Linked DNA regions of Mus musculus: all the other regions are reported to be linked to region 6. Evidence: microRNA targets listed by miRTarBase, many of them from high-throughput screens and not tested one by one. Region 6 holds a microRNA gene; each other region holds the end of a gene's coding sequence. Distances are from middle to middle.

Evidence for each region. The annotated mature microRNA mmu-miR-223-3p reads UGUCAGUUUGUCAAAUACCCCA and lies in region 6 at 2,039-2,060, opposite strand. An mRNA with a match to its seed (bases 2 to 7 or 8) in the 3' UTR can be bound and repressed. Matches are read on the target gene's strand: a 7mer-m8 pairs with bases 2 to 8, a 7mer-A1 pairs with bases 2 to 7 and ends in A, and an 8mer does both.
Region 1: miRTarBase lists Zbtb7a as a target of mmu-miR-223-3p. Seed matches in the 3' UTR shown: 7mer-A1 at 3,020-3,026.
Region 2: the mRNA of Fmnl2 is a reported target of mmu-miR-223-3p. Seed matches in the 3' UTR shown: 7mer-A1 at 2,315-2,321.
Region 3: miRTarBase lists C2cd2 as a target of mmu-miR-223-3p. Seed matches in the 3' UTR shown: 7mer-A1 at 1,793-1,799 and 7mer-m8 at 2,085-2,091.
Region 4: the mRNA of Itgb1 is a reported target of mmu-miR-223-3p. Seed matches in the 3' UTR shown: 7mer-A1 at 450-456.
Region 5: miRTarBase lists Phka1 as a target of mmu-miR-223-3p. Seed matches in the 3' UTR shown: 8mer at 818-825.

The regions. Positions count from the first base shown.
Region 1 is chr10:81,147,850-81,151,939 of GRCm38, reverse strand. Zbtb7a (zinc finger and BTB domain containing 7a) reads right to left here. Exons shown (of 3, transcript NM_010731.3): 3 at 283-3,970. The coding sequence ends at 3,505. Among named protein-coding and RNA genes, the nearest start is that of Zbtb7a, 14 kb to the right of the region's middle.
Region 2 is chr2:53,131,216-53,135,305 of GRCm38, reverse strand. It overlaps Fmnl2 (formin-like 2), which reads right to left. Exons shown (of 27, transcript NM_172409.2): 27 at 1,104-3,466. The coding sequence ends at 3,428. It overlaps Prpf40a (pre-mRNA processing factor 40A), which reads left to right. Exons shown (of 26, transcript NM_018785.3): 26 at 1-604. Among named protein-coding and RNA genes, the nearest start is that of Prpf40a, 58 kb to the left of the region's middle.
Region 3 is chr16:97,855,808-97,859,897 of GRCm38, reverse strand. C2cd2 (C2 calcium-dependent domain containing 2) reads left to right here. Exons shown (of 14, transcript NM_174847.2): 14 at 322-4,090. The coding sequence ends at 542. Among named protein-coding and RNA genes, the nearest start is that of Prdm15, 6.6 kb to the right of the region's middle.
Region 4 is chr8:128,731,819-128,735,908 of GRCm38, forward strand. It overlaps Itgb1 (integrin beta 1 (fibronectin receptor beta)), which reads left to right. Exons shown (of 16, transcript NM_010578.2): 16 at 205-1,761. The coding sequence ends at 270. It overlaps LOC108167564 (a long non-coding RNA gene), which reads right to left. Exons shown (of 5, transcript XR_003947630.1): 5 at 2,416-2,554. Among named protein-coding and RNA genes, the nearest start is that of Gm26100, 37 kb to the right of the region's middle.
Region 5 is chrX:102,512,710-102,516,795 of GRCm38, reverse strand. It overlaps Phka1 (phosphorylase kinase alpha 1), which reads left to right. Exons shown (of 33, transcript NM_008832.2): 32 at 1-19; 33 at 581-2,821. The coding sequence ends at 754. Among named protein-coding and RNA genes, the nearest start is that of Hdac8, 9.6 kb to the right of the region's middle.
Region 6 is chrX:96,240,854-96,244,943 of GRCm38, reverse strand. Mir223 (microRNA 223) reads right to left here and starts at 2,127; the gene lies at 2,018-2,127. It overlaps F630028O10Rik (RIKEN cDNA F630028O10 gene), which reads right to left. Exons shown (of 3, transcript NR_030718.1): 3 at 1,302-3,906.

The sequences.
Region 1 (4,090 bases), not on the chromosome of region 6:
CTGGGCCTGGGGCGGGGCTCCCCTGACCCTCTGTCTCTTGGCCCCCCTGCCCCCCACAAAGGTAAATCAATATATATTTAGTGCGAGCTAGTTCTGAACTGAGATAATCATTCCTGGGGTGAGGAGCCCCCCAAGACCCCTGACCCGTCCGGTGCCAGCCACCCCGAACTCCGGGAAGGCCGTTTCCTCAGCTTAAATAACTTTTTAAAATAAAACTGCAAATATAAATATCTTTCTTTCTCAAAAAATAGGATTTTGCTTTTTCTTTTTTTTTTTTTTGTTGGTTTTTGTGGTTTTGGTTTTTTTTTTTTGTTTTTTTTCTATTTTTCCTTTCAGCCTGTGTCCCTCCTACACACCCCCTACTTACACTGTCTATTCCCTGAACGACCAGCCGGGGCTCCACCTGGGCTTCGAGGCTGCCATTATGCCTGCCACAAGTGACAGCCTTCCCTGGCTACCCAAGGGCACCCACCGAGCACCCTCAGGTCAGCTGTGCTCACACAGGGTGAATGAGCACCCCAGGGCACCCACTTTGGTTCTACCACTCGATCCCACCATGACGGAACCATGGCTGGGCCAGGTCTGCCATGTACATTCATTGGGTTCTATAGATATATAGTTTTTTTTTTTTCATTTTTATTTTTTTATTTTTTGCCTTTTTTTTTCTTTTTTCTTAATCTCGAAAGGCCTGTAGGGATAGGAAGGCAAAGAGCAGCAACTACTCAGCAGGGGTGGCCTTGCTCAGGTCACAGGCTTGGGGCCAGCTGCAGGCTGGTCCCCTCCCCAGCACTGGGGTCCCCAGAACCCCACAGCCTGGGCCCTTCTGTCTGTCTCACACACTCACACACACACACACGCAAATTCACCATAATGGAAGTAACAAATTTCTGTTGTGTTTTTTTTTTCCTTTTTGTTATTGGTACCAGGCAATTAAAAAAAAAAAAAAAAGTAGAGGGAAAAGGAAAAAGAAAAAAAAGCAAAAAAACAAACAAACAAAAAAACCACACACACACACACACACACACACACACACACACAAAATAAACCCCAAACAACCAAATAAAACCTTTCTACAGCACCCTCCGCTCAAACCTCTAGTGAATTCCACAATTCTCTTTGGCAACTTTTATCACGGCCTTAATTTAAAGAATAAAAATTTGTAAAAATTGATCCGCATTCTATATACAGTATGTGATTGCAGTATATTGGGGGGCGGGGTACGGGCGGGCCTTTAGGGGGCTGGGGGATGTCCCGGCGCTGGGCCCATGCGGTGGCTGCGGCCCCCTAGGACGGGCTGGCGGTTAAGGCAAGGTGGGTGTGGGTGGGCAGAAGCTGAGCGCGGAGCGGGGGTCAAGGGTTTAGTGCAATTCCCAAGGGGGTTGCGGTTTCGCTGGCGGGTTATGGGGCACCCTACCATAGTCCCCAAGGGCTCCATCCACCCCAAGTCTAGTGGCCACTGGCCAGGATGACATGTGATTAAAGTTGGTTTTATTGCGAGAAGGTGGAGGGGCTGACCTGTCTGGGAATGGGGGCTGGGGGCCCAACTTGGCCTCCACAGCACAGTTCCCGGGACAGCTCACTGCGGAAGTGGGGTGCGAGGGGAGGCCAGCACCACCCCGCCCCTGGGCCCATTCTGCTGGCCCCAAGGGGGGATCCTGAGACATCTGGGGGGGGGGGGAGGGCTCGCGTGGTAGGAGGAGTTAGAAAGGAAAACCCCTCTGCTAGAAACTGGAAAGCGACCTTCTTAGTGAGCTTCCTTTTAAAACCAAAGAAAGACATTTGTCAGCGGGGGACACAGGAACACCCGCTACCCCCGCCGGCACCCATGGGGAAGGGCTGGACAGAGTGTGCATGGACAAGGTCCCAAGTTTGGTTCCACCTTGGCCACGGGGTTTGACGGGGGGCGCCCTGGCACCCAGCAGCCATGTCCCCCAACCCCGGCCCCTGTCCGTGGCCTGTGGCTCGGTCAATACCGGGCCTTTGGGGGAAGCCAGAGTTTGGGGTATGGGGGGCTCGGGTGCTAGCCCCTGGGTTACAGTCAGTGCCTTTGAGTAAAAAGAGGGGGTGCCTAAGAGGGGGACCACCACATGGGGAGGGGACAGACATGGGGCATGGGGATCTGGCTAGTCGAGGACCAGCCCTCTCTCGGGGACATCCCTGAGCTGGGAAGGACAGCACAGGTGGCCTGCGGCTCCCAGGCCTGTGGTCTCCTACAGAGACAATGAGAAAATAAAATAACCTGGGGGACAGAGGCCCCTGGCAGACTGGGGGACCCACGGGTCCCTTCCCATGGCGCCCTGGACGCCCCACCCTGAGTCTCGGGAGCGCAAGTGGATTCTACCGGAGCGATGGGTTGGGGTTCTTTTATTTTATACAAAAATAAATTGACTTAGTTACTTCCCACTCTCTCGCTCTCTCTTCAATTTTTCATAGAAGCTGGGTGCAACTTGTAAACATTTCTCAAGTTAAGAATGAAAAGTACCCGTTCAGTTACAAAGTGCCAAGATCCCCACGTGGCTGTCACCGCTTTTGCTGATTTTTTAAAAAATGTTCTGCCTTCGTGTTTACTAAAATCTTGGGGTTTTATTGCTGTTTTGTGACATTAAGCTGTGGCCTCTCTCACTCCCTTGTCTGTCTCTGCCTGAGTCCCTGGGGTTACCTCTGATCTTGGCTATGTCCACCCAAAACTGCTGCCGGCTCCTCTGAGGAAAAGAATATTTTATATATCTCTCTCTATATATATCTCTATATAAACTGTCTTTAAGGAGTCAAAGGGGAAATCGATCTAAAAAGTGCCTTAAAAAGTGGGGAGTGGGGTGACGACAAATTTTCAATCTCTGAACACGGGGTGGGGGCATGGCCAAGCAGAGATGGGAAGGTTGGGGGGGGGGTCGCCCTGAGCAGTGGCCCCGAGGGCCCCGTCAGGTGTAAGTGCCGTGAAGGAGGGTGGCGGGGACCCCAGCGGCCCCCCCCCAATCCCCGCTCTGGCCATCCAGGCTTGGGAATAAATAGATTTGTATGTCAGTGGTGGCCAGGGTGGATGTGCAGAGATGCGGAGGCCACAGGCCGGGAGGGAGGCCGAGGGGACACCCCCCTCTTTAGTAAGTGCCCTGAGGAAGGAGGGTGGGGACCATTTTAACGTCCACTCATAGTGGACAGAGCATTTAAGGTCTGTCTAAGACCCCCTAAAACCAACCAGCAAGGAGCCGGGCGCCTGTCCTGGGGTCCCCATCACCCTCGCCTTAGCCAAGAGCAGGCTGGGCCCCTGCGTGGGACCCCTTGGTGGATGGGACGAGGGACACAGGAGCAGATGGGGCCACATCCTAAGGATCTGAGAAAGGCAGGCGCCCGCGGCCATGGTATATACACGCACACACGTCCGCGCAGGTGGATGGAGGGCGTCTGGACAGAGAACTGCTTACTCGTGGTGCTGGGGGTGGGTGGTGGTTTCTCTCTGTTCTTAGTTTTTTGTTTTGTTTTGTTTTTGGTTTGTTTTAATACGAGTCAGGTTGCGAAGTTACCCTCGGCGGTGGCCACCGCCGGGCCACCTGCACCATCGTCTCCTCCGCTGCCCGCTACATTCAGGCGGCCTGAGCCGTCCGGGCTGGCCTCCTCCTCGTCCTCCTCCTCGTCCTTAAAGTGCTTCTCCTGGCCATTGCGCGGGGCGTCCGGGAGCCCGGGGGGTGCGCCGGCCCCGGCAGGGACATCGGGTGGCACACCCCGCACACGGGGCTTGCGGCCGCGGCGCGAGGGGACCCCATTGCAGCCGTCCTTCTTGAGGTGTCTGTGCAGATGGTCGGAGCGCACAAAGGTCTTGCAGCAGCTATCGCACTGGTATGGCCGCAGCCCCGTGTGCACCCGCATGTGGTTCTTCAGGTCGTAGTTGTGCGCGAAGGCGGCGCCGCACTGCTGGCACAGGTACGGCTTCTCACCCGTGTGCTTCCGCATGTGCACCTTCAGCTTGTCCTGTCTGAGGGCGGAGGCATGGTCAGCAGGGACCTGGGGAGACCCCAGGCCCCACCCAGATACCTGTTTCTCCTGTTCCCAGACCTCAGAACCAGAGGGTGGAGGGGACCCAGCAAAACGGGAC
Region 2 (4,090 bases), not on the chromosome of region 6:
GTCTTGGGGCTCCTTTCAATGTAAGAATGAAAGATAACATACACTTTGTTGAGCTGTCCTCCATTTTAGACCCGACCCCCCCCCCCCCCCGTTTAAGTTCCTTAATAAGATGCTATTCCTAAACCTGCTGTATGTGCTCAACAGCTGCATTTGAGAATGAGTGGATTCAGTTCAAGGTCATCGGTGGAACCAGTCTTTGACAGTGATGACCCTAGTATAATTAATGTTTACATTTCAAAGAAACAGGCTAGTCCATAACGCTGCTCTTCAATCTGGGCTATGGAGCAGATCACATTCAAGCTAAGCCATTTTTTGATACTATGCTGTGACTGTTACTAGAGTATCTCCTGGTTACTGAAATCTTTGGTTTTTGGTCCTGACTACTAACATATTTGGGTAGGTGTTAGTGTAGTCATCTTGCCTTCCTCTACAACTAAACAGGATTTGTTCAGAAAGGTAATTGGCAAAAGGTTTATCTTTTCTATGCAATCACCAGATTTTTATTTGTTTTTATATTTGTGTGATGTATGGAACCTCATAGATACAACGGACCTTTTGTAAATAGAGCAATGGCATATTTATTAAATAAGTTGGATTTGTGTCACCGTTTCTCTTTAAGTGTCTGCCCTACTGCCCACAGTTCTCTGTTGTGACTTGAAGTGCCCACAACCCTGCTTCTCAGTGTAGTACCCACTTTGCTTAAAAAGTTAGACCTTAATCAACCCCCTCAAGGAACTCTGATCAGGAGAACCTGTACCTGTTTTCTCCCATTCTTTTCATGAAAATGAAAAAAAAAAAAATACAACTTTGAACAGCTAGCTAGAGAATGAACTCTGTCTTAATAAATTGTTCTTGTATATCTAATAAAGACTAGAATAAACAAAATGCTAAATAGAATTATAAAAGCATTCATCTGCCTCTGTAAAATGTAGTAATTCTGCAGCAAAGTAGTTTCAGTGATTTGCTGTGTTACTTCTATTCTGTGTCCTGTAGGAAGTGACTCAGGTCACAGGGCACGGCATTAAGACCGGATGGAAGCATACTTAATTCTCAGGGGTAGCATATGCAAGGGCCAGGATTGGATCCCCAACTAAACCCCTCTTAATAAAATGATCTCTAAATCTAACCAAATCATCCTTTGAGCTGTACTGTTCTAGTTACATTCAAAAAATTCTAAATGTGTAATACCTTAAGACATTTTAAATAAGTCAAAAGTCCTATTGCAATTAATTAGAACTTGGGGAACTGGGCAGGAGAGGAGAGGAGAGGCTTGTGTTCTTGGCTTGGGAGCACAACTTTTTTTAACAGTTCCACTTGAGGTTTATTGGGAGAGAGAGTGGGGCAAGGTAACAGCTGAAAGAGAAGGGGTGAAGAGAGATCAGGGGAGCCTTTCTTTATATGTAGGTGATGACAATATCTCTTTTTTTTTTAATAAAGAATATGAGGGAGCAGTTTTTCTAAAACAGATAAAATATACAAAGGATTAGAACATATGACCGAATAGTAGTGTAAATAGTTTATTTGCTCAAATGGCATGAAAAGACCAGAAAAGTAACATGGATTGCTTTTATAAAACATTTCTAATATTGCTAAGAAGCAGGGCCATTACTAGACAGACAGAAGAATATGCCAACATTATTGTCCATTTGTACACTGGGAAATGGGCAGTTTGCTTTAAGCAAATGCACGCCTTTGGAAAGCAGCTGATTTGTGTGAAGGAGGTCCACATATTTTTCTGATATCATGATCAAATTAATATACTCACCAAGATGGATATTGACTCAACAAGACGACAATCTTGGCATGTTCTTTTTAAACTACACATTTATGAGTGTGACAGCAAGTGGCAGTTTAAAAGGGATCTGTAAATAGGCATACTACTGTGAAATGTGGTAACTGACTTTTAAACTGTCCTTGTAGTTAAATATATATATATTTCAGAAAACAAACTATAAGTTAAAGTAACATTCAGATTGTGTAGCATAGGCTGATGCATTTTAAAACAATATTTACAGTAGTACCTAAAGGCTTAGGTAGGAATTAAAGAGAAGTGTAAAAACCATAAAAAACTGCACCAATCTTATAGCAAAATATCTGTACATTTTAAAGATCATATAACTACACATCCATGAAAAGGGGGCCTTCACCAAGGGGTTCACATGAACACAGATTTGGTGGTTAAATACTATACAATAATTTTTACAATTAATATACTGATGTACCAACAAGGTAAGCCAGAAGCAGAATATATATTATGAAAAGTACAAATTTAGCTTCAGTCCAGTCTTTGACTTTGGGAAAGATGGAAATGCCTTGTCAGTGAGGAAGTAAAGGTGAGTGACTTAGTCAACCATTTAACCCTATCGCGGATAATTTAAACTTAATCTCAATGTTAATTTAATGGGAATTTCCCATAAGTAAGAAATGCATAAAGCAATTCAGCCCTGATAACTTAATGTCAACTGTATCAGTATAATTTACAAAGGGAAGAAAAAAAAAAAAGGACCCTTCGATTGTCAGAAGAGAATAAGGCCAGGTTCCCAACATTACATTAATACATGTAATTTTTGAATGCTTACTGATAGAGCTTGTGGTAAAAATCTCCCTGACTAACAAGGCACCAATTTCTATTTTAAGGATTCACCCATAATGGTCCTCAAAAATCAGAATACTGAGACATTAATTTTAGTGCTAATTAAGAAACCTTTGCGTTATTAAAAGCTGCCTCTAGCTTAACACAGTTCTGCAAATAAGTCTTCAATGTTTTATGCCATCTTGAAGTCATACAAGTGAATGCCTTTGTGCATGGCAGCCTTGCACAGAAACAACATGAAATAGGATAAAATCGAATGACTTGGAGTGGCACTGCAGTTGCATCCTGCTTGTACTTTGCTGAGACTAAAGAAGGATGTAATTGTATGCCAGCTTCCATCTCCCGTTTCCAGTCCCTTGTTAGGAGTTGGTGAATATGGCTCGAACACAAAATTTCTTAGAAGACCTCTCAGCAAAGGATACCCATAGCACACACATCCGTTATTTACAGATTACCAGGAAATCAGGGTGGGCCACAATGGACAATCAAAATGGCAAATAATGAATTTAATATGAAGTTTACATTTTGGTTAAAAAACTGAGTAACATACTGATGTAAAAAGATTTAAGTCAAACCTATTGCTTTGATTAATCTGAGCAAGTTACTTCCAATTTTAGGCACTTGTTAACAGGGGTTAAAAAGAGAACCCATCACTTTAAAATTCCTATGTGTTTGTTAAATCTGAGCCCTTGAGAGTATTTCATCTGTAGTGAAGGCTGGAATGGCAGTTTCTTGGACACCCTCTCATGAAGGTGGTCTCCAGTCACATTGTTATTTCGGCACCATTAACAGAACGCAGGTTCTGATCATCGAAGCGCCGTCTCACACTTCGTCTCACCGCATCGGCTCGTCTGTAGGGTTGGTTTCTAAGATCTGTAAGGAGAAAAATGCCAATGAAAAGACAGTCAAGTACATCTCAGCAAGACAGAAGCTAGTTGGCAGCCAGTCAAAGCAGCTTGTGTAGAGTCAACTAACAGGCCCTTCAAGCCCATGGAGCATTCAACCAAAGGTGTACATCTTCCTTGAGCATTTACAATTAAAATAAGATGTAATACTGGTAGGACTCTGAGACATAGAGATTATTTCTATCACAGTAGCTTGGCTAGTTGAAATATTTTGAAATATCTCTCCAATTGGAAGCAACTGTGCTCAGTCTTCAAAACTGATTTGTGTAAAATTCACAAAACAAACTGTCTTGTCTTTATAGTTTTAATAAGGATAAGACAAGAAGGAACTGCAGAACAATTGTTTATACCGCTTTAGATACTTGACTTTTCTTATGAACTAGAAATAGTACTTAATATCTCACTCCTTCAATAGTCTCCTGCCGCCTATTCTGTTTCTACTCCAATCTACACGGGAAATAGGCCCAACTCCAACTTTCCAGGTTATTCCTAATGCAGGCAGAATGTTTCACATTTGAAAAAGGCTGTGAATGAGGAAGTCAAGCCAGTGCAGTGCATTCTGGGTGAAGGCAGCATTGTTTTAGTGAGATGA
Region 3 (4,090 bases), not on the chromosome of region 6:
ACTATCAGGAACATGGCCTTTATTCCTGGGCATACTGCATAGCCTTGCTCACAGAGTTCCTAGTAAAGGGGAGGGGCCATGGTAGATCCCAGCCCACCCACTCCACAGTGTAGCCTTGCCAGTCTTACTGCTGGAATGTTCTGCCTTTCACTCTACAGGGTGACCTCCTATCATCTAGGCTGTGCTGTTTGCTCCTCTGGGCAGTGGTCACTCTTTGAGGGAGCACTGACTCTGTCACAGCTGTCTGGCAACTTTGCTTCCTCCTTGGCTTGAGTTCATCCTCCCTATGGCTCTGACCACTCCTGTGCTTCCCTTTTGCAGGAGGACTCCTAAGGAAAGGTGCCAAGCTCTTCTTCCGCCGGCGACACCAACAGAAAGACCCGGGCTTGAGCCAGTCACATAATGACCTGGTATTCCTGCAGCAGCCAGAGGGGAGGCAGAAGAAGGGGGCGACCCTCGGCCGGCTCCTGAACAGAAAGCTGCTTACCAGGCACAGAGGCAAACACACTATGAATGGAGTACCCAGAGAGCCCTGCATATAGCCCAAGTCACCCCCTGTCCTCACAGCTGGAGGATGGGGAACAGAAAGGTCTCCACCAGAACAGCAGGAACCAGTACCACCAGATGCCTGCTTGTCTATCTTGGTTGTTTTTCCCAATAATCTTGTCTTTGAAAGGAACAAAACAATCTGTGTGTATGGCTAGGAAGCTTCCCCTGAGAGGACTGATAACACAGTCCAGTTTGCTACCAGATACTCCGTGTCTGGCTCCAGCTTCACCAAGCCATCAAAGCTCTGAGGGGGAACATAAAGAGAGAGACTTGCATCTTTGAAGCCATGTGTGATCTGATGGACTATGGATGGTAGGCAGGAGAGATCCTAGTCCACCTCCTTCTTCCTCTCTCCTGAAGGACTGACTATTGGAGTTTGTGTCTGGACCTTGTCAGGAGGGAGAGGTGTCCCTCTGGGCTGTTGCTATGAGCAGGATGGGCTACCTCACCTAACTTGTTTAGAATTAAAACGTGCACCTGGGCCAGGGGATATAGGCAGGAATTTTGACCCATGGGAAAAAAATAGGAAAAGATGTGCTTTGACAAGTGTGAGGTATTCACCTTTGATATTAGCCATAGAAATTAAAAATGTATGCAAATACTAAGTGTGTTCTATGCAGATTGTGCCAGGAACTTCCAGATTTACTCTAGTCTTCTTGCAAGTGGAGGTGTAGAAATTCAGATATGTTTCTTTGTTTCTTATGTCTGGGGCTCTGTTTTTTCCCACAGTGCAGACAGTATGCTGAGCTCAAATATGCTGAGGCTGCTATCAGGAGCAGTGAATGACAGCTTATAGGATATGACACACATATATATATATATATATATATATATATATTTCTTGCCAAATATAGCTAACAACCAAAACAATGAACTTTTAGGGCAACTGAGGAAATTACTCTGTATCTCAGGTGCCAGTTAGTCTTAGGTGTAGAAGTTCTAATAACAATGGGCCAAACTTGCAGGAATTCTTCTTATGGGATCTTCAGAATTTTACTGTGAACAGAGACTTCTGGTCACATTTTAGGGTATTCTGGTTTTGGTTTACTGTGGGAAAATTATAAAGTTGGCACCTGGCTTCAGTGTCCCCACATAAAGTCCGTAAGATGCTGTCCTAATCTGTATGCCTGGCATTGTGGGTTCACTGAGTCTCAGAACCCTCCAGAGACATTGCGTTGGGTTAGGGTGTCCATTTTCCTACTATAGCAGTGGAAAGGCTGACAGTAAAACCTGTGTGCTCGTCACTGACATGCAATCAGGAAGCTCCCTCTGGCATCTTCTGTACATTAGAAATATGCATTTCAGGGGCAAAGTCACTGTTGACCAAAAATGTCTACGATAGCCAACATTATAGGAAAATTTTTTTTATATTTTGTTTTAGCAAGAAAGATTTGTAAACTACATTTAGAAATCCTTCCTTCCTATCTATCTATCTATCTATCTATCTATCTATCTATCTATCTATCTATTCTTTTCCTCAGTTCTTGGGATTAAACCTGTATCTTTGTGCACACTAGACAAGTCCTTGTCCACTGAACTGACTATTTCCCTGGCCCTCTTTTCACGTTTGGTCATCATAATTGTCAGGATTTTACTGCTGTGAACAGACACCATGACCAAGACAACTCTTATAAAGGACAAACTTTAATTGAGGCTGGCTTACAAGTTCAGAGGTTCAGTCCATTATCATCAAGGCGGGGCATGGCAGCATCCAGGCAGGCATGGCACTGGAGGAGCTGAGGGTTCTACCTCTCTTTCAGAAGTCAGCTAGGAAAAGGCTGGCTCTTTTGCACTGGCAGAGCTTCAAAACCCACACCCACAGTGATGTACTTTCTCCAACCAGGCCACACCTCCAAATAGTGCCACTCCCTGGTTCAAGCATATACAAACCTCCACAATCATCATCATCATCATAATTATTGTCATTATCAAGCTAAGGTTTTACTGAGTTGTTGCTTGGGCTGCCCTGTAATTCATTCTGTAACCCAGACATATCTTGAAACTCTGATTCTCCTGCCTTTGTCTCTCAAGTTACAGTGAATACAGGCCTGAGCCACTGGGCCCGGAGAACTTTACTTTCAAATAAACATTTGAAAATTCTTCATGGGTATGGTGGTACAGGCCTGTGATCCTAGCACTTAGAAGATGGAGAGAGGAGAATGGTAGCTTCCACCTCAACCTGGGCTACATGAGACCCCCTTCTCAAAACAAACAACAAAAATAGAAGAAAAAGAACTGCAAAGTTCTAGAATGATCCATCAATAATAAGTTGGTTCCCAAAGCCAGGAATCCCCACAACTTTTGGGGGATAGAAGTGATTTTAATGCTGTGCTCTACTCGAAGCATTGCTACTCCATGCAGTCTGCAGAATTGTGATCCGTACCTGTCAATTCCCAGAGACTACAGGTGCCAGGAATTCTGATTCTGATGGTGCATTTTCAGTGTGGGACACAGTAGCTGTCATCCAACATACTGGGGGCCAGAAGTGTTTCAGGCTTCTTTTGGATCTGGGGCTATCTTGATAAGACTTTACCATCTGAGCATCCCTTCATCCCAAAATATAAAAATTTCAGAAACATGAAACTCTTTGAACACTGTGATGCATACAGTGTTTTGGGTTTTAGACTTTTGGGTTAGGGATGCTCAACCTATGCAGGTTTTATTGGTTTGGGCATTTAGGTTAAGTCTAGTCAAGTGTGAAGGTATCAGAATTTTAGGTTATACTTTTAGCAAGAACAAAAAAGAACAAATGATTTTTAGCCATTCTAGCCCACAAATGACTCTGTGAGCATCCTGCTCCTGGCTTCCCAACCACATCTAAGACCTGCTTCCTTTAGGGTCTCCATTGAGTAGCCTTTGCCAGTTGTGAATACCATCACAGCAGAGTGTACAGAGATGGGGGACACAAAGAGGACAAGCCTGAGAAAATGGGCCTTCCTCAGACTATAAAATCCCTTCTCCAAGCTGTTTATCCACTTCTGTTTCTTTGTAGTGTAGGGTAATTATGTTGAAATGAACACCATTAAGATTATGTAACAGGTGCCAACAGCACAACTGCTTAAGCCAACTCTGTCCATTGATCTTGACTACATTCTTTGGTGGCTTCAGTTTCTGTCTTAAGATTTTGGCAGAGTGCTAGTTTTAAAGCAGTTTTTCATGAACACTAATCCATGTGTCTGTGAATCTGGAAGCAGAACTCAGGTTGGCTGGAGTTGGCCACATTTCCCCTGTCCTTCATGCAGTGACTGAATAGAGCTGTTTGTGTGATGTTGATGTAGCAATAACAAAACTAGGGCTCTTTTGCTCTGATTGAAAACACACTATGAACAATAGGATTTAGACAAAGCACTTTATTTTACATTTTAGTTTAGGTTTAAAACTAGCCCTGCTTCCTAGCTGTGGATACTTGGCCATTTATTGCTAACCAGTTCCAAATTAGATTTTTGCTTGGATTTTCCCTGACCACATTTACAGAAATTTTTCTTATGCAGACAGGGAAAGATTAATTTACATTGCTGCCACCCAAAGTGGTGTTTTCTTT
Region 4 (4,090 bases), not on the chromosome of region 6:
CTGGAGTCAGAGCACAATATTTTAATAGCCTGAGACTTTTGGGTCAGAGCTGGCCTTCTCACCACTGTGTCGGATTTTATCTTTGCCTTCTAAACTCTATTTGACACTGGATATTGGAAGAGACTTATTAAGACAACTGCAGCTATTAATCTTGTTTTGGAACACTGATTTTAGAGAGTAACTGGCAATTTGTGTTTTTTTTAGGGTGAAAATCCTATTTACAAGAGTGCCGTGACAACTGTGGTCAATCCGAAGTATGAGGGAAAATGAATCCTACTCAGGCGGATTTTGCAACACCAAGCTCACAGCAGCAGCATCTTAGTCACAGTAGGGTAGTTTTGGGGCTCTGTGGCCAGGGTTTTATTCACATGCAGGTTTGGAAAATGTACAATATGTATAATTTTTAATTTTTTATTATTTTGAAAATAATGTTATAATCCATGCCAGGGACTGACAGAAGACTTGAGAAAGGATCTTTATCCTTGTCAGCTGAGGTCACAGTGTGCCTTTTTAACCCTTCCTTCTGGACCATTGGAATCAAGCTCTCACTAGATTGAATGACACTGCTAGTGCCAATGCAGGGCAGAGCTGAGCAGCGTCGCAGCATCTGAACCATGACTGATTTTCAGCTTCACAGGGTGGCCAGGGCTGGTTATACAGAATCAAAGAACAGTCCTTGCTGGTGGCTTTGTTCTTTGTTTAGCCTGCTGGCTGCCCTCTGGGAATTCCCAGTGATGTATGTGGAAGACAAGAGTGTTGACAGTTTCCAATTAAAATAAAATTGACACAGTTGATGTTCAAGTCCATTGGAAAAATTCTGAGAGGTGGGAAGGAAATCTTAGCTTTAAAACCTGTGTGCCATTGTGAGTTACTTGATCCTGTAACTCCGACGCCTTTTCTTTATAAATCCAACCTTGGATAAAAGTACTGGGAACTTCTCTGCTAAAAAGTCCCTGACTTAGCACTATTCACATAAAGGCCATAATTTTAGTAGCATTGCTGAGTGGGGACCTTTTGGGTTGAGCTTATTTTACCTTTTTTTTTTTCTTTAATTCCTGGTGCTCCTTTATCACCTTCTCTAATCTTTTAATGTGTCTGTTTGCAATATGGGGGTTAGACTTTTTATCATTACCTTTTCTTTTCCTTGGCTGTACATTTACCTTTTTCACAAATACTGTAAGCTGTCCTGCTGCTTGCAGGACTACAGGGCCTGGGCAGGGCCCCCCAGCAACAATTCACCCACAGTGCACCTGCACATGCCTTTCCTACATGCTTGCTCTGTCTCGAACTAGTCACAATCTTGTTTTAAGTGCCTTTTCATTTTGACAGTGCTATTAACTGAAGTTATTTATTAAAATAAAAAGGCCTAAATACATTAAGTGATTTGTTTTGGCTCTGTATTTTTATTAGTTTTGTGCATTTTTATGTGTTAAAGATATGGTAGAGAAACGTGGCTCAAACCACTTAAGCCAAAATGACTCATTTTAGACATGTGGGGAGTGGGTAGTAGAACAGATTTTAGTTAGGTGTTTTATTCTTACGTTAGCAGAACATTTTATGAATATCATTTTAGGCTACTAGATGCTGGAGAACTAATAGTTAAGAGAGGGGTTGTATTTTCATTCTTAGGAAGAACTAGGGAAATCTTAACTTTCTTTTGGTTTTAGTTTATTTTTCTGTAAAACTATTTCCATAAAAACACTTGTGTAAGGTTTAAAAGAACTTGGGTTGGCAAAGTGTCTTAATGGGTAAAATCTCTTGCTGTGAAGGCTGATCAGAAGTCAATCCATACTTTATATGTGTTGGTGTTCACATACCATGACAGGCACGTGGAGGTTAAGAAACAACTGTGTGGAAACAACTATATGGATTCTGAAGATTGAACTTAGGTCTCCAGGTTTGTGCAGCAAGTGCCTTTAACCAGCCTTCTGTGCTTTCTTAAGTTATCAATGGGTATGTGTGCGTATGTCTCATGTTCACATGTGAGTACATGTATATGCCTACATGTGTGCATAAGGAGGCCAGAGATCAACCTTGGCTGGAAAGTGAGAACCAATTCCACAAAGTTGTTTTTTATTGGCCTAGAACTTACCAGAGGGGCTGGCTAGTGAGCTTCAGAGATTTTTGTTTTTACCCCTTTCTAGTGCTAGGCTTACAATCATTCATTACTATGCCTGGCATTTTATTTCCCTTGGTTTCTAGGGATCAAAGTGAGGTCCTCATGCTTACAAGGCAAACACTTTACTGAATGAAATATCTCTTCAGCCTGAATTTATGATTTTAATATTAAAACATTAAAACAACATATTTTTATTTTCTAAGTGTCCCTGCTTGAAAGTGTAAATTTTTTTTTATTCTATAGGATCAACTGACAAATCAAATTACACTTAAAGAACCACTCATTTTAAACACACATAGCACAGATGTCGTTTAATTGCCTTTTTACCACACCAGAAGGTACTGGAAGCATCTTATCTAGTCAAAGCAAGCCGGAACATCAGCAACCACAGAGCGATCTTAAGGTTCAAGCTGTTCCAAAAAGTGATGAGGAGTTCTGAAAATAAACCATCAATTGTCACTATCAGTGCTAACACATACATTTGGACTTCTGACAACTTTTAGTTTTCTACAGCTTTGGTAATTGAAACAGATTTTATATTAATTACCTAGTTACATGTTATTGTCAAAATACCTTTGATTTTAAAGTCACTGTTCTTTCTCAGTGGCAAAACAGACTCCAAAGCTGCCTTATGGATAAAGAACTGTCCATGAAGCTCTCAATACCCTGAATTCTAGTGATCAATGTCCCTTATTTGTTGGTTAATACCTCAGCTATGTCTTTTCAAAGTTTATATAGATCCCTTAATTCCCAATGAAGAATTCCAGGTGTATCTGCTGCCCCAGTTCTCATAGATCTAAACAAGAAGACAGTTGAGAATTGTTCTCCAAATAAGTCTTAGAGAGGTTGCTTCTGCTAATTATTGAACTGTGTTCTCCATTGTGAGCACCATAAGGTGCTTAAGGTTAATAACAAACTTACATAAACATCTAAAATTTCACTCACTGTAGCTACCTGTTGAGAGCCCAATTCATCTGTTCCATATTGAAGGACAACATGCACATTTCCACAAAATTCTACAGAGTGTTAATGGAAGGGAACTCTTTCATAATCATTCTGAAAAAAGGTGGCTGGAGAAGAGGATCATTTAAGCACCATCTGCCAGTAGTTCTAGAACCTGGATTATAGCAAAGGGGAGCAGCTGTTTGCTTATGTGGTTGGTTGAGTTCTTACAGTGCTTATGACACAGGTCGCTTCATAGTAGGTACATATTAATATCACATACATAGAATCTGGTTAAACTGTTCTGTGGATGGGGACAGTGAACTTAGGTTTTTAAAAGCACCTATGGGGGATTCTATTTTGTGGATGGGCTTGAGATGCACTGCCTCTACAAACTTATTCACTCGTTTGATGTCACAGAATACTCTTCATGGAAACTGAGTTGGAAATACCACTTTTCCCCTTATTCCCTCTTCCTTCTTTGCCTCTCCCTTCTTCCTCCTCCTCCTCCTCCTCCTCCTGTTGCTGTTGATTTTTTTTTTCCCTTTGGGACTAGGTCTTATTAAGTAATTCAGTAGGTGACCTCATGCTCCTTCTGCCTCAGTCATCCAAATTCTAGGATTGCATACCTGAGGCATCATACATTTTTAATCTTATAGTCCTAATCCTTAATTAAAAGAACTCTTGGCCAATTCATTTTAATATTTGTCATTTTGCCAGATCCCTTAAAGAGTCAGTATCTGCCTTTATGGGCTTACAATTTTGAAGTTTTTCCTGATTTACTCTCAGCAGAAAGCATTAGAACTTTCTAAAACAGGTCTCTTTACACATCTGCTTATTTACCAGGGATCTCTCATATGCCAGGCCCTTTTGTGGAAGGCAGGGGTGCTAGACCCATGCAGAACTTAGGGACCGACTGCTGAGTAAAGGTACTTGACAATTACTCTACCATCTGAGTTCTATTCCCAGCCCTCTGAATGCCAGATTTTTAGTGTTCGTAGACATGTGGGTGGCACTGTGATTTCGGCA
Region 5 (4,086 bases), 6.3 Mb from region 6:
CTTGTTCCTTCAAGAACAGGTAGGTTGTCCAATGTGGAATACACCTGCAATCACTGCATCTAGGAGTTTGGAGGCCAGAGGATTGGGAGACCAAAGCCAGGCTCAGCTATTTAGTAAGTTCAAGACCGGCTTTAGCTACAGGAGACCCAAAACCTATAACAGGTATTTCCTTCTCTTAACCACTGTGAGAGAAGACAGAAGTATCCAAACAAAATATGAAAGACCCAAGGTGGGGGATCCCAATATAGTCTCACTAGGGTTCTCTCCAAGTGCTAATAACAGAGGATGTTATTAGCAAATGTGACTCACTTAATCAAATTTTAATTGATATTTTATTTTGAAAATGCTTTATAATAGAAAATTCTAAATAGTAATTAAAATAATTTCGGGAGTCTAGTGACAAGTGCTATGTATAGAAGTTCATATCCATCCTGCACAACCCTTCATGTCCCCTTCTGGTTAAACAGCCAGAGAAATGGTGCTGGGGAGGAAGCTCAGAGGCACACTAATTAGAGTTTGACTCAGTAGGATCAGTAATTTTCCCTTTCACTCTGTTTTCCCACCCTTTTAAACCAAATAGAAAACCCTCGGCGCAGATGATACCATGTTGGCAAAGGATCCTGCATCTGGCATCTGTACTCTCCTGTATGACAGTGCACCCAGTGGCAGATTTGGCACCATGACCTACCTCTCCAAGGCAGCTGCCACCTACGTGCAGGAGTTTCTGCCACACAGCCTCTGTGCCATGCAGTGAGGGCTGTGGGTTCTGCCTGTTAGAACACTTCAGTAGCTAGCCCGTCTGGTTGATTGTGCATGGAACTGACATGTTAACACCTGATCACTCCCCCAGGCCCTTTTCCTGCCCCATCCCTCCTAGGAAGAGAGAACTTTGCTGACGATCTCACTACTTTTGAAGAAAAGAAGCCCTATCTGGAGACTTGACTCCAGAGCGAAGCCCTATCTGGAGACTTGACTCCAGAGCGAAGGTTCAACTGCGCCTGCAGTCACTATCCCTACTTTTGTGGTTCATAGAAGTCTGCATGTGCGTTGATTCTGTAGAGCTGTTAGTGGCTTAGTTTTTAAACTCCTATTGGGGAGTAGGTATTAATAACTTATTCCTGTAAGTTGGTTTTCTTATTTGTTGGTTTTTACGTGTGTATATGAGTGGTGGGTATTGATTAGGCCATCATTTCAAGAGAGTAGATGCTAAGTTGGATTTCGTGCTGCTGTAAATTGGAACTGTCGACTCTAAGTGCCTTTACTTAGGAAAAGCCAGTACCACATCATGGCTTCCTTCTTCACTCAAAGGCTGCTTTGCTCTGAGTGGGGAAAGAGTGGGTGTTTTGTAGAAGCATTGCCTTTCATTGTTCTTTCTATATCTGTCCACAATGCCTACTGTCTCTGTGGTGAAATATTAAAATATGTAAGCTCACATGGAAGTTTAAGAATTTCTGTGTTAATACTTGGAATAACCCAGAGAAAAGAAGCCAGAAGCCTAATTCCAGAGAGGAAGGGAAAGAAGTTCTGTAGGTAGTGCTTTACACATAGGGGGCCGAGAGAACATCAGAGGCAGGTAGGTTGCTTGTGGACAGCCTTAGACACCAAATCCTTGCCTCTGGAGTGTAGCCACACACAACACAGAGAGTAACTGAAGCCTATCTTAAGCAAAGAGAAACCACCCGTCCACTCTGGGGCTGCCCTACTGAATGCCCCTTTCCAGGACCTTGGTATTCCTTCTCATTCAGTCCCCAGCACATCCGGCTACCCCTAGCTCTCTCCACATTCATTCCTCAAGTCTCTCATTTACATGGTTTGACTTTTTAATTCTAGTACTTACAACCTTTAATCTTGGTAACTGTGGCCAAATATCTATTGTTATACATATCTCTGAATGTGCTTGTAAGTGGTTAAATAATTTGTAAGCATTTTTGATCTGTCTGTCTGTCTCTACATGGATGGACTGAATAAGAATGTAAATAATATTTATTGCAAAGCAAGCCTGGTCATACTTGCTGCTTGAGAAGCTGAGGCAGGAGGATCATGAATTCAAAGCCAGCCTGGGATACATAGCAAGTTTCAGGGCAGTGTGGGTATGAGGTTGTGTCTCAAAAACATTTGAAAGCATGTTGTGCATGTGTGAGAGAGTGGCGTGGCTGGTCTCAGGCTGACACTCGAAGGGTAGTAGAAATATCCCTTCTGGCCTATTGTCTGCTTCGCTGTGTAGGTAGCCTGACTTGACAGAGGTTTCTCCTGGTTTTCCTTGTTTCTACCCAGAGAATTTCCTACTCCCCTTTCCCTCCAAATGTTAAGGGTTTTCTCCCAGAACAGTAATGGGGCTAAAGGGGCAGTGAGCTCCAAACAGTCACAGAGTGAGGAGTCTTCTGAGCTCCCTGGCTAAGTGCAGCGTGCTAGCAGACAGGCAGGGGATGCAAACGGCTGCCGGGCCACCTCTCCCCTCTCACAAACCATATAAACACAGGGAGGGGCTTTCTCACCACTTCTGAGGAGACTGTACAGCCCGTTTTGTGCCTGTGTGTGTGTTCATGGCCTGTAAGTGTACCCCAAGCACTGTGGGCGGGAGCTACCACTTCTTTGAGAACCTCTGCTTTACGGTTGACACTGATGCTTATCTTTCTCTGGAGTTACGGATTTGCCTGTGGATTTAATGCTCACACCATGCTATTTAATTTTTAAAGTAACTTTTCAGAAAATATTACTGGCGTTTTGTTCATTTTAAGACTGTTAACATGAAGAAAAGTGTGCTAGAACTTTTTAAAAACACATAATGTCTTGAAGTTAGAATAAACACTAAGAAATGACTATGTCTGGTGTTACTGCACAAAAGCTTATCTGGTTTGTGACTGAAGCTAATTCATGATTATTTCACATAACGTTTTGCTATACAGTATACTCAACTGGGTCAAATAAGACTAACATTTATATACTGTACATTATCATACATCATATATCATATATAAAAAAGCCACAGGTTTAGTGCTATCTTTAGACAGACTGCTCACTAAAAACATAAGATGGGTGCTTACTCTATTTCAACTCTATATAAGTGGTATTTCTAAACTATTAGAAAACTAAATAGTTTGCTCTCCTAAGTATTCTCAATATTTCACATATTGTTTAAAATATTCATTGGCTTGAACTTGGTGGTAGAAGCACATGCCTTTAATCCTAGGACTTGGGAGGCAGAGGCAGGTGGCTCTCTGTGAGTTTGAGGCCAGCCTGGTCTACAGAGTGAGTTCCAGGACAGCCAGGACCACATAGAGATACCTTGTCTTAGAAAACAAAAAGCAAAACAGAAATCTCACTAACCATTTCTATAACAAGTGAGTATGTATCCACCAAAGATGAACAGGGTTTCTACATGCCCTGCCTGGGACATACTAGTTAGATGAGGCTGACTGGTCAGTGAACCTCAAGCATCCTTTTGTCTGGGTGCCCAGCACCATGCCAGCTTCTTCCCTGGGTCCTCATGCTCACATAGCTTCTTCCCTGGGTGCTCATGCTCACATAGCTTCTTCCCTGGGTGCTCCTGCTCACATAGCTTCTTCCCTGGGTCCTCCTGCTCACATAGCTTCTTCCCTGGGTGCTCATGCTTACATAGCTTCTTCCCTGGGTGCTCCTGCTCACATAGCTTCTTCCCTGGGTGCTCATGCTTACATAGCTTCTTCCCTGGGTCCTCATGCTCACATAGCTTCTTCCCTGGGTCCTCATGCTCACATAGCTTCTTCCCTGGGTCCTCATGCTCACATAGCTTCTTCCCTGGGTGCTCATGCTTACATAGCTTCTTCCCTGGGTCCTCATGCTCACATAGCTTCTTCCCTGGGTGCTCATGCTTACATAGCTTCTTCCCTGGGTGCTCATGCTTACATAGCTTCTTCCCTGGGTGCTCATGCTTACATAGCTTCTTCCCTGGGTCCTCATGCTCACATAGCTTCTTCCCTGGGTGCTCATGCTCACATAGCTTCTTCCCTGGGTCCTCATGCTCACATAGCTTCTTCCCTGGGTGCTCCTGCTCACATAGCTTCTTCCCTGGGTCCTCATGCTTACATAGCTTCTTCCCTGAGTCCT
Region 6 (4,090 bases):
TGTCGAATCAACTTCCTAAATTTTCATGGGAACTACCATGTTGCCTATGTAGTCTGCATATGCACAGGATCAGATCAGGTTTCAACAAGAGGTACTCCCACTTTGAAATGACTGCAAAAGTCAAAATAGTACACAAAAGTGATTGACAGTCTGCCCTATTTTACCCCCACTGATGCTGCCAAGTCTATGACCAAAATCTCAGCATTTTCTTCTTTGACAAATGCTAGCTATGCATAATTAGTGTCAGAGATGACTTCTTCTTCTCCATCTCACTTACCAGCCTCCACAACCTGGGTACCACCCAGTAGAAACCTCAGCTTCCTTCATGAAACATCTGTGAGTCCAGCCCTGAAAGCCTTGAAAACACCCTTTATCTCATTCTGCTCTTTAGAATTAATCCCTGGGCTTGAAGAGAGAATGTTTATTGAAATTGCCCTAGTAAAGTGAGCCACAAATTCAGGGAACCCCCAACACTGGAACCACCAGGAATGTCTCCTATTCTTGCATGTGAAAATGTTTACAGATTACTTATCTGAACATTCACATACCACAAATTGGGAAGTGAAGCCCAGAGAGAAATGAAGGTTTGTCAAAAGTAACATACATCAAGTCAATGGCAGAACAAAGACTGGAGGTTAGACCTGTGGATTTTTAGCAGTGTGTGTACTTTGCTGCAGACATCTTCTGAAGATGGTCTTTGTCCCTAAACAATGGTATTTTTCCATGCAGGGTAAGCCAGTAAGTCATCCCTAGATAGAGATGCATCCCTCCGACAATTCTGAGCAAAATTGGGGTAACAATATGGGTCTTGTTATTTAGGTCACTGGTTAGTGGGTGAAAAGTTAAAGAATGAAAGTAGGTATCTCCAGAACCAAGGGAGAGTATGGAATTTCTCCAGAACCAAGGGAGAGTATGGAATTTCTCTAAAGAAGCTTGCCAAAATATATGTTATGAAATGTTAGACTCTGGAGAGAGGGATTGGAGATGCTTCATTTTATAGTTCTATATTAGAAGTTCACCCCAGTGCAATGATAGAATATTAAAGGCTCAGAAAATTCTGTTTAAAAAGACACGTGTAAACCAATAATTCAAAAAATTTTTCCCTCTGAGTCTATTCTTTCTTCTTGCCCTCCTGCCCCAGACCTAAATCTTATTTCTCAGAGGAAAAAAAAATCCATTTTGGTTACCATCTTGTATACACTATAGCATTAGAATACCCACAGTTTGATTTATTTTTTTCGCAAAACCCTGGTTGGTATTTGACCTATATAGCAAAAGGTTATTGACTAGTAAAACATCAATTAATTGGTAAATATTTATTAATAATTAAAATGTTGGACAATGGTATGAGAGACAGCAATCAACTGAATATAATAAGCTCTAGATTCTTACAATATAATAGGGAATTCAAGAACATACCCTGGAAAAATTCACTGACAACTTTAGAAGATGTGTTGGATGGTAGGACATATAATAGCACATACCAGTATGTGGTTAGCCAAGGAGTAAAGAAAAGTATAGGTTAACTTTCAATAGTGCCAAGAGGAATTGGAATTTGGTAGTGTCTGAAAGCCCAATGAAGATAAACAAGAAGGTTCTTTTAAGAATGATAAAAGCAAAGTGGAAAAGAGAAAATGTAGGTAGCTTAAGATGTGCTCCGAAGGCCAGACAGTGGATATTTATTTCCTACTTTCTCATAGAATTCATGATGCTTGTATGAAAATTCTGCTATTCTGGCTGCAAGAAGAGGAAAGTGAAAGAAGACATTAATAATAAATCAAATAATACTCTCATTCCCTGTATCCCTCATGTACCACTATGCAGTCCATGGCATTTTCACAATGTACACAGATGCATACCAGACTTGTAGACCCCAGAGCTGCATCGTTCCTACTCTGATGTTCTCTGAATAAATGTTATAGTTCCCTTAAAGACATAGAATAACACCAGAGAGCTTCATGTTTCATAAGCATTCATATGTAGGCAGCAGGCTATGTGCTCTGTCCTGGACCTGGAGCTGATAGGCATGAGCCACACTTGGGGTATTTGACAAACTGACACTCTACCACACAGAGTGTCCAACTCAGCTTGTCAAATACACGGAGCGTGACACTGCAGATGGCCAGATCAGGAACCTCCACTGGGCAGCAAGAACATGCTGGAAGATGTGCAACTGGAAAGAGAAAAAAATAGGGTGATTATATCTTACCCTAAGTGTGAGACAAATGGCAGACACTAACATGACTGACTAAGACACACCAAAAGAGGGAAGTGAACAAAACACGCTAATGCTCCAAACAAAAACGGGGATCCTGGGTGTTTGTCTGGAGATTCTGGTGGCCCAAGCCTCAATTAACTCTTCTATTCAGCTGAAACAGGAAAAAATTGTCATCATTCTGTCCTCGGGGACAATTTATGTGTTCCTTCCTCCTATCAACTTCTTGTATGCTCTGTTTACCCTGGTTATGTACCTAGATGTTGATTTTTAAAACTGGATTTGAATTCTACCTCTACCATTAACTAGCTGAACACCTTAAATAAATGAGTTTATGTCCCTGAAACCTACTTCTTCCATAGCCACAAAAATGCCCATGAAATCATGGCAAGAATATGTAATAATGCATATAAAGCCATTAATTTAGTGTTTGTTACCTAACAAATACTCAAAAATTGTGGCTATAGCCAGGTATGATAGTACATGTGTGCATACAAGCTTTCATAGACAGAGATAGGAGAACCTCAGATTTAAAGTCAATTTGGGCTATATAATACTACCCTTTCTCAAACAAAAAAGTAAACAATCAAGATCTAGAGATAAAACTCAGTAGCAGAACACTTACCTAACTTGTACAATACTCTGTATTTGATCCCCTGTACATAAATAAAAGTGACTAAAATGTGCTTTAAAATTAAACATATAAGATAGATACTAACAGGGGAAAAGATAGATAATTTATTTAACAGAATTGAAACAGTAATTTCTTGTGGCCTTAGCCGGCTTTGTCTAACTTGGTTGCCTTTTCTCATAAGCAGTAAAGAATTAATGATATTAAAATGCCCTTATAAGTCATCTAGTTTTACCCATTCAAGATTATAAATGAGAAAATGAAGTCTGATGTTTAGGGAAAGACTTCCAAAAGGTCATAAAACAAGTTGTTTACAGTTTGGGAATTATATCATCCATCAGCTCATTGTGTCCCTTGGCTGTCCACCCCACCACTTTTTCTTGTCTGCTTTTTATATTCCCTTGCAAAAGGGAGAGCAACAGCAACAAAGAGCAAAACAGGCAGTGGATTTTGCAGGGAAGTATTAAGATGTTTGAACTCATAGCTACCAGGGCAGCTGCCAGAAGAGCCAAGCCATCTCAATTTATTTGATATTTTGTTTAGCATCATGATCCTGTTATTCAAAATGCTTGATAGTATCAAATTTTGTCCTACCCAGGTTTAAAGTTTTCTTGGGCATCAATTGTCTTCTCTAGAAATAGAGACAGAAATCTTACATCTCAAGGTCTTGAAAAATGTTGGATGAGACTTCTAGAGCTTTTTAGAAGGGAGCTTAAAGAGACCTTATTTCCAACTCTGGAGCTAGTAAAAGCCAAGGAAAGTGATTAAAAGAGAAAGGAGTAATGGGTTATTGGTTTTGGTTTTCTTGACAGCATCTCTGCTTATCATCTGCTGTAAGGAGAGCTAGACACTTTAGAGATATCCATAGCCTCTCAATTGCCCTATCCGACCTCACATAACCCAAGAACACTGGAAAAGAGCCATGAAAGGGGCTAAAGAGTTCTAGTGCACTGACTTAATAGATTATTATAAATACTGTTTTCCAGGATTGATGGAGAAGTCAGTCCTTAAGCTGGGTAAGGGACTATTTCATTTTCATTCTTGATGTTCCAGTTCACACCTATTCAGAGGAATACATATAAGAGAAGCAAGTTTAGTTGATTAAAGTTAGTCAGACCCATAAGAATGAAGACATAGATGACTACATAGTCAGTCTTCATGACGCAAATTGAAAGGCATAAGCTTGGTAAAAGAGGTATAAGATTTTACCAAAAATCTATAAATGTCCAGAATAAGCCACATAT